Drosophila melanogaster: one gene and its partners. The protein of the gene in region 1 interacts with the protein of each later gene in a pairwise test. Each region holds a gene or a part of one and is shown in the gene's direction. Other genes may lie near its edges. The genes, in order: CG9609, elfless and Scp2.

What was found.
Region 2: the proteins of CG9609 (region 1) and elfless interact in a two-hybrid assay, tested with the Drosophila melanogaster proteins (one large-scale study listed by BioGRID).
Region 3: the proteins of CG9609 (region 1) and Scp2 interact in a two-hybrid assay, tested with the Drosophila melanogaster proteins (one large-scale study listed by BioGRID).

Annotation. Positions count from the first base shown.
Region 1 is NC_004354.4:16,785,238-16,789,068, reverse strand, and holds the start of CG9609 (uncharacterized protein), read left to right. Parts: upstream 1-2,060; 5' UTR 2,061-2,318; coding exon 2,319-2,504; intron 2,505-2,564; coding exon 2,565-3,590; 3' UTR 3,591-3,831. Other genes in the region: Sap30 (SIN3-associated polypeptide 30), read right to left, coding at 374-502, 727-1,119.
Region 2 is NT_033779.5:18,009,417-18,013,016, reverse strand, and holds elfless (elfless), read left to right. Parts: upstream 1-1,541; 5' UTR 1,542-1,640; coding exon 1,641-1,754; intron 1,755-1,810; coding exon 1,811-1,939; intron 1,940-2,005; coding exon 2,006-2,083; intron 2,084-2,151; coding exon 2,152-2,520; 3' UTR 2,521-3,374; downstream 3,375-3,600. Other genes in the region: CG31740 (uncharacterized protein), read right to left, coding at 3,524-3,600.
Region 3 is NT_033777.3:16,581,999-16,585,829, reverse strand, and holds the start of Scp2 (sarcoplasmic calcium-binding protein 2), read left to right. Parts: upstream 1-2,166; 5' UTR 2,167-2,266; intron 2,267-3,831.

The DNA of each region.
Region 1 (3,831 bases):
TATTTTTAATTTTTGTTTGTTTTGTTTTTCGTGGGAGCACCAGTTGCCTTCTTCCTTACGTTCTTTCATTGCTGTTTTACTTTTCGCATATTACTTGTGTTCCGGGGAGTCGGGGGAAAGGCTTAAGGGTTTGGGCAGTGGTGGCTTATGGGTATAGGATTGGGTTTCTTGGGGGTCACACGGATGAGGATGAGCCATTGCACTATCAATATTCTCGTTCATCCCTATTCTGGTCAACAATGCCGACGTCCAGCAAATGCAGCAACAATGTGAGAAGTTTGGTTGTTAATTTCTTTTGATCGGCAGTTGGCCAGCGTTAAAAGGAGTAGACGTCGTCGGCGTCCTCCTCCTCCCTCCGCCCGCCGACGCGCCTTCAGGTGGTGTCGTTGCCAAGGCCGTTCTTCTGGTCCAGCTTATTCGAGCCCATCTTCACCATGTACACGAAGAATGTGATGATCTCCTTCTCCTTGATGGGTATTGTCTTGAAGTGTTTCATAATTGTCTGCGGGAGAAGAGTAGAGGTTTGCAACTTGATTAAAACAGGGTTTAGAAAACCTTATAAAGGGCATGGCACATTTTTCTGCCTTTTCTTTAGAGTGGAGGCTACTACAAGAGGGCCAACTATGGAGCATCACGGAGCACATTAGACCAGCGTGTTACCCCACTGAAATCCGGCAACAGAAAGTGGACATAGCCTGCTCAATTCGTTAACTAGGTCAAACTTACATCCGCCAGCTGCGCCCGCTTCATGCCCTGCCTCGTTTGGACCTTGAAGTGGCGCTTGTAGCGTCGCAGCGTGCTCACGCCCAGCTGGTAGAGATCGGGGAACTCGTGCAGGTCCGTGTCCGTCTCGTTGCTGTCGTCCTCGCTGTCCTTGCGCCGACGCTTGGTGCGCACCGACTGGATGCGCTCCTTGTGGTGGTCACAGATGTAAATGTGCTGCGCGGCCGGATCGCTGCTGAGCTTGAGCCGCTTTTGGGCCACCGTCTTCTGGATGCGCTTGGAGTAGCTGGCGTAGCCAGCCTGGTTGCGACACCGCTCCATGTCGTCGATTAGGCAGCACGTTTGGTCCGTGTGCCCGCGACTGTCCTCCTCGCCGGTGCTGAATCCGTTGTTCATCCTGTTCCCGATCCTGGCCGATTGCTTTCGAGTTCCTATCCAATCCCCCTTCCTGCTCTGCTTGCTGCTTCTCTGATTTTCTCCGTTTCGCTCCTTTGTCTCCTCTTTCGTCTTTCTCACTTTCGACTATTGCTTTGCTTTGTTTCTCTTTGCAAGAAAAAAATTTTCTTTCGACAGCGCGATGTGACCAAACTGGGAAATGGGGAAATTCCTCCGCAGCTGGCAAGAGCGGACAATTTGAAACTGTTTGCAGTTTCTCAAATATCTTAAATATCAAGTGCATTTTTTTCCAGATTATCGATCAATATTTTTTAATTGGTATTAATAATCGCACAAAATATTAATTAAATAAATATTAGTTAATTTCAGTACTTAAATTTAAAAATACCGTGTACCAAAATATAGTTACCTTTTCCAGCATTGATTCCAATTCCGATAGGTACCGCACACCGGTACGATAGTTGAGCCAATTACCGTTTTTGTCATCACTAGCTCACGTTAGTGCAATGAAATTTGAATTTCCTTTTTCTCAGGCGTATCTGACTGCTTGTCTATATAGAATATTATTATACTCGTCTTCAGACCAATTCTTGATTGTAGTTTCTGAGACGGGGGACTAACAAGCATATATTTGTTAAATGCATCGACGCAAGGAATTTTCACCGTAGTGAGTTGGAGAATTAAACAGAATCATTCAAAAAGACTGGGAAAAGGAATACGCAGAATTTTCTGCAAATAAACAACGGGGTTACTGCAAACTTTTCCCAGGCACATTAAAAAAAATCTTAGCTATAACGTATGTGACAATTATATTTTGAATAAATGAATAATAATGTGACCAATGTAACGTTTTCGATAACGTATCGTACATCTTATTCAGTTGTTGCAGTACAACACTGCTAGGCAGCAATTTCCAGCCCTGGAAAAATACCAAAAAATCTACCATCTCTCCAAAAACGAAATCATAAACGCTTACCAGGGACATCATCGATTTTCTACACCAAATTAAAAGAAACCTATAAGTTATAGATTTGCTACACCAAATTGAAATAAAATCAATCTCTTCAACCTTAAGTCCTTGGCTATTTCCACGTACACGAGTGTGGCCAAATAATTCCACGACATTTGCGGATGTCGCGGTAACCTAAAACACAAAAAAAAAAGAGATTGCAATATTTCGGAGATAAAAACCCTCAAAAATGCCGCCTGGAACGCAAATTGCCAGCGACAGCGATATGGAGACCGCTCTGGAGGAGTTCAAGCAGCGCCAGGGACGCCGCAACAGCATCGGCTCGGCCAAGTACGCGTGCAGCATGCCCAAATGCGAGGCCACATTCAAGCGGCTGGACCAATTGGATCGCCATGAGTATCATCACACAGGGATTGTGAGTATAGTTAGAGTATGTTAAGTGTAAGCCAGTAGTAACGCCGCCACCACTTTGCAGAAGAAGCACGCCTGCTCGTACGAGGGTTGCGACAAGACGTACTCGATTGTGACGCACTTAAAGAGGCATCTGCGCAGCACCCACGAGCGTCCGGAGTCGGCGGCCAAGAAGACGGTGAAGTGCGCGCTGGAGGAGTGCAGCAAGATGTTCATCTCGGTTAGCAACATGACCCGCCACATGCGCGAAACCCACGAGAGCCCAAAGGTCTATCCGTGCAGCCAGTGCAGTGCCAAATTCTCGCAAAAGCTCAAGCTGAAGCGCCACGAGATCAGGGAGCACACGCTGGAGTATCCGTACAGCTGCTCGAAGTGCTCGCGCGGCTTCTACCAGCAGTGGCAGTGCCAGAGTCACGAGCCCAGCTGCAAGCTGTACGAGTGTCCCGGCTGCCCGCTGCAGTTCGACAAATGGACGTTGTATACGAAGCATTGTCGCGACTCGTTGCACGGCAAGAATCGCCATAAGTGCGACCGCTGCGATAGTGCCTTCGACAAGCCGAGCGAACTGAAGCGTCACCTCGAGGTGAAGCACAAGGAGGCGGCGCAGACGGATGAGTGCGCCACCTCCTTCACCTGCAACGAGGAGGGATGCGGCAAGAGTTACTCGTACCTCAGGAATCTACGCCAGCACATGCTCACCGCCCACTCGGGCAGGCGTTTCGAGTGCCAGGCCTTGGACTGCGGCCGCTGTTTCAGCAGTGCGCAGAATCTGGCGAGACATCTGCTCAGGGATCACAAAGATGGTGCGACGAAAAAGGAATTGAAAGCCAAGAAGAAGGACAAGAGTAAGACTGGAGAAGGGGGCAAAACTAAGTCCACATCCCGCAAGCGACGACGCGATGCTGGACGCAGCAAACATTCGAGGCTATCCAAACTGGCCTGCCTGCAATTGGACAAGGAAGATGATGAGGCGGTGCGCGAGCGACAGCCTTTGGTCCTCGAAAAGATCACCCAGTCGCTGAAGGATGACCCCGTCGAGGAGCTGCTGGCACAGACCCTGCAGGATGAAGAGGAAAAGGAGCAGGAGTAGAGCAAAAGGCCATTCAAAGGGACGGGAGTGAGAAGGTCTGGTCAAGAGGCTAACAATTGAATGACTACTTTAATTTAAACCACAACTTCTAAAAGAGAAACAACTAATTTATCAGTAAATACTTAGGATTTGCGTTCAGAAACATCCGAAATTGCATTAATTTGCATAAATTAGTAAGCTATTATTAGTAGTATTCGCCTGGAGCGAATTAGTTTATTTACTTTAAGCTTACAGTTGCAAA
Region 2 (3,600 bases), on another chromosome or scaffold:
TGTAAATCGAAAATTACCAGAAATTGTCACTTTACATCACGCCTGCTGCAGGACCTATAAATCATACTGCACACACACTTATGCACGGGCGACACAGGAGCCACAATCTGGTCTAGTATTTTGGCAGCGCAGATCCTTTCGGGTATGAGTGTGCGAGTGAATATTCAAATCAGTTGCTGGCTGCCAATAAATGAAACTTGCCACACATCTCACTCACTGAGCGCACATACACAAACACACGCCCACACACACTCTTAAATTGTGTCGGGATATTTGAATGGTCCCGTGTATTTAGCAAATGAACCGTACTTTCTGTTCTGTTTAACTTTTTGGCAACCCGCACTAACCAAATATTACAGACTTTAGCACGGCAAAGCGATCGGCGAACGGGAATCAAGCTAAATGCCAGATGAATGGCACCGTCATTACGACTTTCGCAACTCTCGGGCTGCCAATTAACTCGCCCGATAATTTAATTACGGTTAGGGCCTCCAGGATTGGGTCCTGATGTGTTGCCAAGTCTTATCGGCCAGATCTGCGGCAGAGCAATCCTACGGATGAAATACGCTAAAATCACTGGGCTGATTAAGCCGAATCGAACTGCAATCCGCACTCTGCGCGAGCCAAACGTACACTGAAGTCGGCCGAAAGCGCGCTGAAAGTTAAATCGGAAGTCGAGAACGCGGCTGGAGCTTCCAACGGCTCGAGACAGTCCGAGCGGCACTTGCAACATGTTGCAAGTTCGTGTGTGACTTCGGGAATTCTATGTTGTTGAGTCCGGACTTTCGATCTTTGAATTTCTTTCGTTGTAGGGAGTTACTTCTGTTAGCATATTTTTTAATTTTATGTTAACCATTTAAGATACAAACATGAGAGAATGCTATAGTCGAGTTCCCTAACTTTTAGATGCCCCTTACTCAGCTAGTGGGAATACGAACGCGAAATTCGATCATTTTTCTGGGATATCGATGAATGTGAAAACATTTAAAAATTGTTCTAAAGTCTGGGCGTTAGAGTGGGCATGGCAAAAAGTTTTGTGTCTAATCGATAAGAATTAACAAGACTAATAAAATTATAAACAAATTTGATTTGGGCGGTTTGTCGTTAGAGTGGGCGTGGCAACAGGGCCAAAAAATCTGTGCTGCGTCTATGTCTCTAGAATCTGTCCGCTTAATCACAACCTTCTTGCTTTTATAGTTCCTATGATTCTTTCATACGGCCGGCAAGACAGGCGAACATAGCCAGATCTACTCGGTTTTGTATCTTAATTAAATGGAAATTCCTTCTATTTGTTTCAACGAATCTAGTGTACCCTTTTACTCCACGAGTACCTGGTATAAATAGTACTTCTTAGGGTGACAATCCTAAGCAAATATCCAATTTGGAAATCATGGAAATCGGACAATGATTGTTGGCGCGTTGAAATGGTACTTTTTATCGCAGTGTGACCTTTGGCACTTAAAATACTGGTATTGTGTCCTGGAACTTTCAAGATTTTTTGACATATGTTCAAACAGCTTTCTTGTAAATTTGCAAATAAAAAGCAAGGAAACGGGTTCAACTGAATTTGTAAAAAGTTGTAAGTTCCAAGGCAGAATTCATTGGTAGTATTAAAACTGCAAAAACAGGTGCGATTTCAAATGGGTGATTCCAGCGACTCAGACTCTTCTACTGAATGGGAGCAGAACACTAGGGTTATTTCCTTACCCTTTTCCAGAAACCGTTCACATTTGAGCTCTCGCCTCAGTTACCTGGTAAGTTCATGTTCACCCAGCTCTGAAATCTATTGATAATACACTTTATGGAATAGGTGGGACTTCAAATGGAAAACTTCAGGACCTCGAATAATTCTGGAGTATCACAGCGAATCCATAACACCGGGCCCACTCCCGTACTCGCGCCCTCCGGATTAAGATCCCGCTTACTCAGCGGTTCCTCTGTAAGTTATTGTTCTAGCCAGGTCCCACCCAGAATCCATTGGTTACATTACAACATCATTTAATAGGAGCGGAATCCAAATGAGTATTACGGAGACTCGGACTCCTCAAGCAGCAGCAGATCTATCGACAGAACCCCATTCCTGGTAAGTTCTTGTTCGTTCATCTCGATCCGGAATCCATAGGTTTTAATAGCTTTAACTTTGTTGTGCAGTTGGAGTATTCCAGCGACTCAGAGTCGTCTAGTTCCAGTGATAGTGAAAGCTCATCGACCAGCATTAGCTTCGATAGCAGTATGAGCTCCACCGAATCATCAACACCAATGGGACATACAGAATCCTCAGATTCAAACGAGGATTCTCCTCCCAACAAACGGATCAAATCAGATGACGAGGAGTCCAAGAAATCTGTCTTGCCCTACAACTGCCCTGTGTGCCTGGAAGATGTCCGCGAGAAGCTACCAGTGTCCACCAATTGTGGCCACGTTTTCTGCAAAGCGTGCATTAAGAGAGCTGTCGACACTGGCAGGGTATGCCCATTGTGCGGAGTGGATGAGCCCGAATTCCATCGTATTTTCTTGTAAGACGTGATATGGCAGAAAGCATACTAAACTAAAAATACCACGGTTTTAAATACCACAAATAGACTTGTGGCATATACTTTCGAAAGACCGTAACACAATATTCACACCTAAAGAAACTGTTGCTCCATTATAACAACGCAAACAAAATCTTATCCCAGGCAACATACTCAAGAAACACAATGCAATCGAAAACTTTCAGCTGAGAAACTAAAACTCAAATACAAGACAGACAACTTTGGCCATAAAACATGGCGCAAGGACACACTCGCATACTTGCAGGAAACCCCGGAAAAATGGAAGGCAAGCAATGAAAATTCCGACCTACCGCAATAAATTCCGCGGAAAAACAAAGCAAGTGATGCCAAAATAAGAGTGAAATGGCCAGCTCACACACACACATGAATGTAAATGAAGTGGAATCACCACCTCAGAAAAACTCAGGGACACCTCAGACACGGCCCTGTAAATCGCGCTTATCCAAAACACAACATGGCATCAGGAGGCATTGGAGATTCAGTTTCATTTTCATTCAAAGATTGAATAATAGAAGGGGGTGTTCCATCCCTACCCCAACAACCTTTGACCTGACACAATGCTCTACATTCTATGTTTTTGTTCGAGTTGCGCGTTCGAATCGCGACTGCGCAATAAACCTGATGCCCCAAACAGCTGTTCTAGGCAAGACCTAGGACAACATTTGCATCCTTAACTGGAGGCTGGCCATCCACGTTTACATTGACGTAATCCACTTGCCAGGTTGGATCTATTCGGTGTTGAGATATATCACAAAGCAGTTCCTTTTGTACTTTAATTCATTTTATTACTGAACAGCTTATAATAAAAATTCTTTATGTATACGAGAGCTTAGTTGGTTTAGCCCCGGCCAAGGCAAAAAGGAATTCGAACAGCAACATATTTCTCCAGCAGTCTTTTCCAGAAGGTTGATCTTTAAATTGACTTGTTACCGCTTGCTGCCGTATTAATGCCTATGATAGCGGGCGCTTCACCAGCCGCAAGGACACGAGCTGCAGCCACCACAAGGACCACATGGACCACAGCAAGGACTACAGCAACCTCCAC
Region 3 (3,831 bases), on another chromosome or scaffold:
AATATATTTAAAAGTGGGATAAAACATAACGATGAATTTATTGATTCTTAAGTCATATTGCCAATGTACCAATTGTGATTTTTACTCCCATACAATTTGACCCACTGTTATATATTCATAATCATATAGCCTTTTACTGTTGTTTTGCTAGTTGCTCGACTGGGTTTTTGGAGCAACTTTTCTCAGTGTACTTCGTCCGCTCGTGTGTGAGCCACAACGGAACGTTTAGTGGTCCCACTTATGCGGCGGAGCAAAATGAAGGGAAGAGGCGATGCAGCAGACGTGGAATGGAAGCCCAAAAACAAAAAAAAAAAAACTACATGAAATAGGTGGACAGCTAAACGTTGTGAAATGGGGCCAAACGCTAGAAGGCATTCAAGATTTTAGTGGGTCTTTGGCCAGGCTCATGTTAATTTCAAACTGTGTCAATGTCGGCTTCCGTTTCCTGCACACACACACAGGACGTAGCCTTTGGCCACTTGAGATGCAAAGAGGTAAAAAGGCCACAAATTTAAACATTTGCCCACTCCAACACGCACCGTCGCTCCCACACACACACACACACACTTACAAAAAGAAATCAAGGTGGCCGGAACGAAACATTGGTAAAACGGTCATCTGCAATAAGCATCAGCTGCTGCTGGAACAGCGTGAAAGTGGAACAAGCAGAGGCTGCAGGACACCCGCTGGGCGAGAAGCACAGGATGTGGGCCAAAAAGGCACGGGGAGCCTGCTCCTGAGGCGCTTGATAAATTGGTAGCGACATTTCAGCCGAAACTTGACAATTAACAGCTGAAATACATGAGCTGTATATGTCTGCTTTGTGTAATTAAAAACCCAGCAGACAGCCTGGAAATTGCTTGGCCAAAATGCTTTCATTTTTTTTTCGGTTCTAGCCACTTTCGTCGGTTGGTGGTCCACTCTTGGACAAGATTGAATGCGCCAACAGAAATTATGCCGCCAAGTGTGCCTTATATTGCTGCTACTGCTGCTCTTGCAGCAGCTGTTTTGGCTGCCTTCTTCTTTGGGCCAAATTAACTTTAGCCAAGTTGAGTCCACAGCCAGCCTATGTGTTTGTGTGTGTCCGTGTTGCCTTCTTTTAAGGGAGAGCATGCCTGTGTGAGTGCTTCAGTTTATTGTGTGTGTGTCAAGGCTATGCTAAAAATTTGTCCAGAACATTTGCACATTTTGATTTGTTATGTTGTGGTGCACTGCAAACAATGTCGATGTATTTGGGTGGATGCTGTACGAGTATTATGTTGTATTGGGTCTCATCTACATCATCGTGATCATAATGTGCTGTTAGCAAAACTCAATTTCTTTTAAATCCTTTGGGGTTTATTTGCCAAGTTGTAATTAATTGAATTATTTCCCAGAAGAAATTATTATGTTGATTTATCTTCGAGTATACGTTTGCTGTATTATGGGGAGCGTGCTATAGTTTATTGGTAAATTAGTAATTTATGTTGACTAATAGATTGCCTCCTTTTCGGCTTTATCATTGTTTTTGTGCAGCTTAGACTTTGCTTCTTCGATGGAACAAAGTTTTGCGATAAAAGGGCGATCAACGTTTAAAGTTGGCTTAGGAAAACCTCTAGAACAGTTCTAAATTTTGGTAGTAACTAAACGAGAAAGCCAGCACACATCCCTCAGTGTCTTTTTGGCCACCCGAGGCGTCGTAACCCCTGAGCCCAACATTGTATGCGAATGCCGCTCCGATAAGACGTGCCATTTAATTACCAAAATATAAAGTGCATTCCGGCTACCAGAGCGCCCAGCATGGAGTTTTCTGCGAGTGTCAAATCCCAAAACAAACCCACGAGCAAATATGCCGCATGCTGATGACGACGGCGATGCCGATGTTCGGCTCGTAACAGTGCACGTGGTGGCCAAAAAGCACGCTACATGCACTACATCTACTCATACACTTACTCACACACGCACACACACACACACACACACACACAGGCTCGTGTCGGGTGCAGCACTCACTCACACCATGACGAGTGCAGAGGCGTCGGCAGAGTCGACCGAGACGGCGACTGCGATAAGATAAAGCCCCTGCGATGACATAGAGCACCCAGAGCGCTCGAGTTCTGCCGACGCTGGCAGAGATGGCGGCGCAGACGAGTAGCGCATATAAAAGCCGCTGACTCGATGGCAACGAGCATCACAAGACGGCCAACCGCGCTGCCGAGCAGACGAGTCCAGTTCGAGAGGGTACCAAAATTTAATCAGAAAGTGTAGAGTCAGTTTAGAAGCAACGGTAAAGTTAACGTCTATCTCTGTGTGTGAGTGTGTGTGTGTGTGCGAGTGCTAGTGCTAGTGCACCTGTGTTTGTGCTGAGAGTTTCCGCTACAAGAATAATAATGCCGCAACATTTTTCGAAAAAGCCCATTTCCAAAACCGACAAAAGAACAAGCCAAAAGTAACGAGCACAAGTGGGTGGCTCAAAGAGCTGCGAGGCTCAACAGGAACCAGAGCCCCAGTTTTCCTTGAGTGGGCAGATAGTTTGTGAAAGAAAGGTGGGGGTAGGGTATGCTGGAGGTACTTTTGCAAAAAACACAACCAACCTCTCGACAATTTAACAACTGGAAGAATATTCTTACTTCGCCCCACCTTGGTCAGGGCCATAATGAATTCATTGAAAGCGTGGCCAAAGTTTTGCTCTGGCCAAGCCAAGGAGAAGCGAACGCTGCCGCTCTAAGGATCCTCGTCCTGTCAGTCAGTCAGTCAGTCAGCCAGCCTGTGTCTGTTTTTTCGGTCCTGTTGTTTGGCCAGGCATGCGTCGGTGGCCTTAGGCCGCTCATTGTGAGCTCCTTGGCTCCACAGCTCCTCGGTGGCTGCAAATTGTAAATTGTAAAACTGTAAATTGTCAAACTGTAAATTAATGCAAATTACACGAAATTACTGCGAACCGGACAATGCAACAAAAGGCAAATAGTGGACGCGGAATACGGCGGACAGTGGACAGCGGACCACGGACAATTCCCGGAGCTGCATCAGCAGATAAAGAGCAAACGGCGACGCCACTTGCATTGTCTATTATTTTAAATTGGCTGCGCAAATTTACGGCAGCGCAAAAGTAATTAGCGACGGTTGAAAACTGTGCCATCGTCCAACTCGAATTGAGAATGAAGATGGGTGAGAATTGGAAAAGCGATTGGGTCATCTGGTCATCGGGGGGATTAGGCTGCTGCTGGGATCAGCAAACCGAGTTGTAGATTCCCTGCCAATGGCAGGCCAAATACGTATTCCACTGTCCAATTTGCATGCTGATGCAATCAAAACTACTACAATTTGTCCAGAAAATCGATCAATCGCATGTCTGACAGAGTGTAGCATACTTTTCAGCACTGCCTAACATTTGTCAGCTATCTGCATTTTTTTCGGACCCCATCCCACATTTTATTCTCTAATAATTTATGAGCTTCCTGCCTGCCCTCGCCTGTCGGGAATTCAGATTTTGCATAATAAACACATTGCAGCCCAAACCAAAAAACAAGAACCAGTTTATGCAAATCAAATTGTGTTGATAAACGAGTGGTAGGGTGTTCTCTAATTTGATTGCCCAATAAATTGCTGTATCGAATGAAACCATTTCGCATCTCGCGCGCCGATACTAAAAAAGCAATTAAAGCATTGATGTCTTCATATTGAAATTTATAACTTCACAGATGGCTATTAATTGCCGGAGAGGAGATAAAAGTCTGGGATTTCCGCCATATTTCCATTATTAGAAACTCGTTGCTGCGCTGCATGGCCCGAAAAATGAAAGCGAAACTCAAACAGAACCCAATTAACGAGCCTTCGGCGGTGATGTTGGTTAAT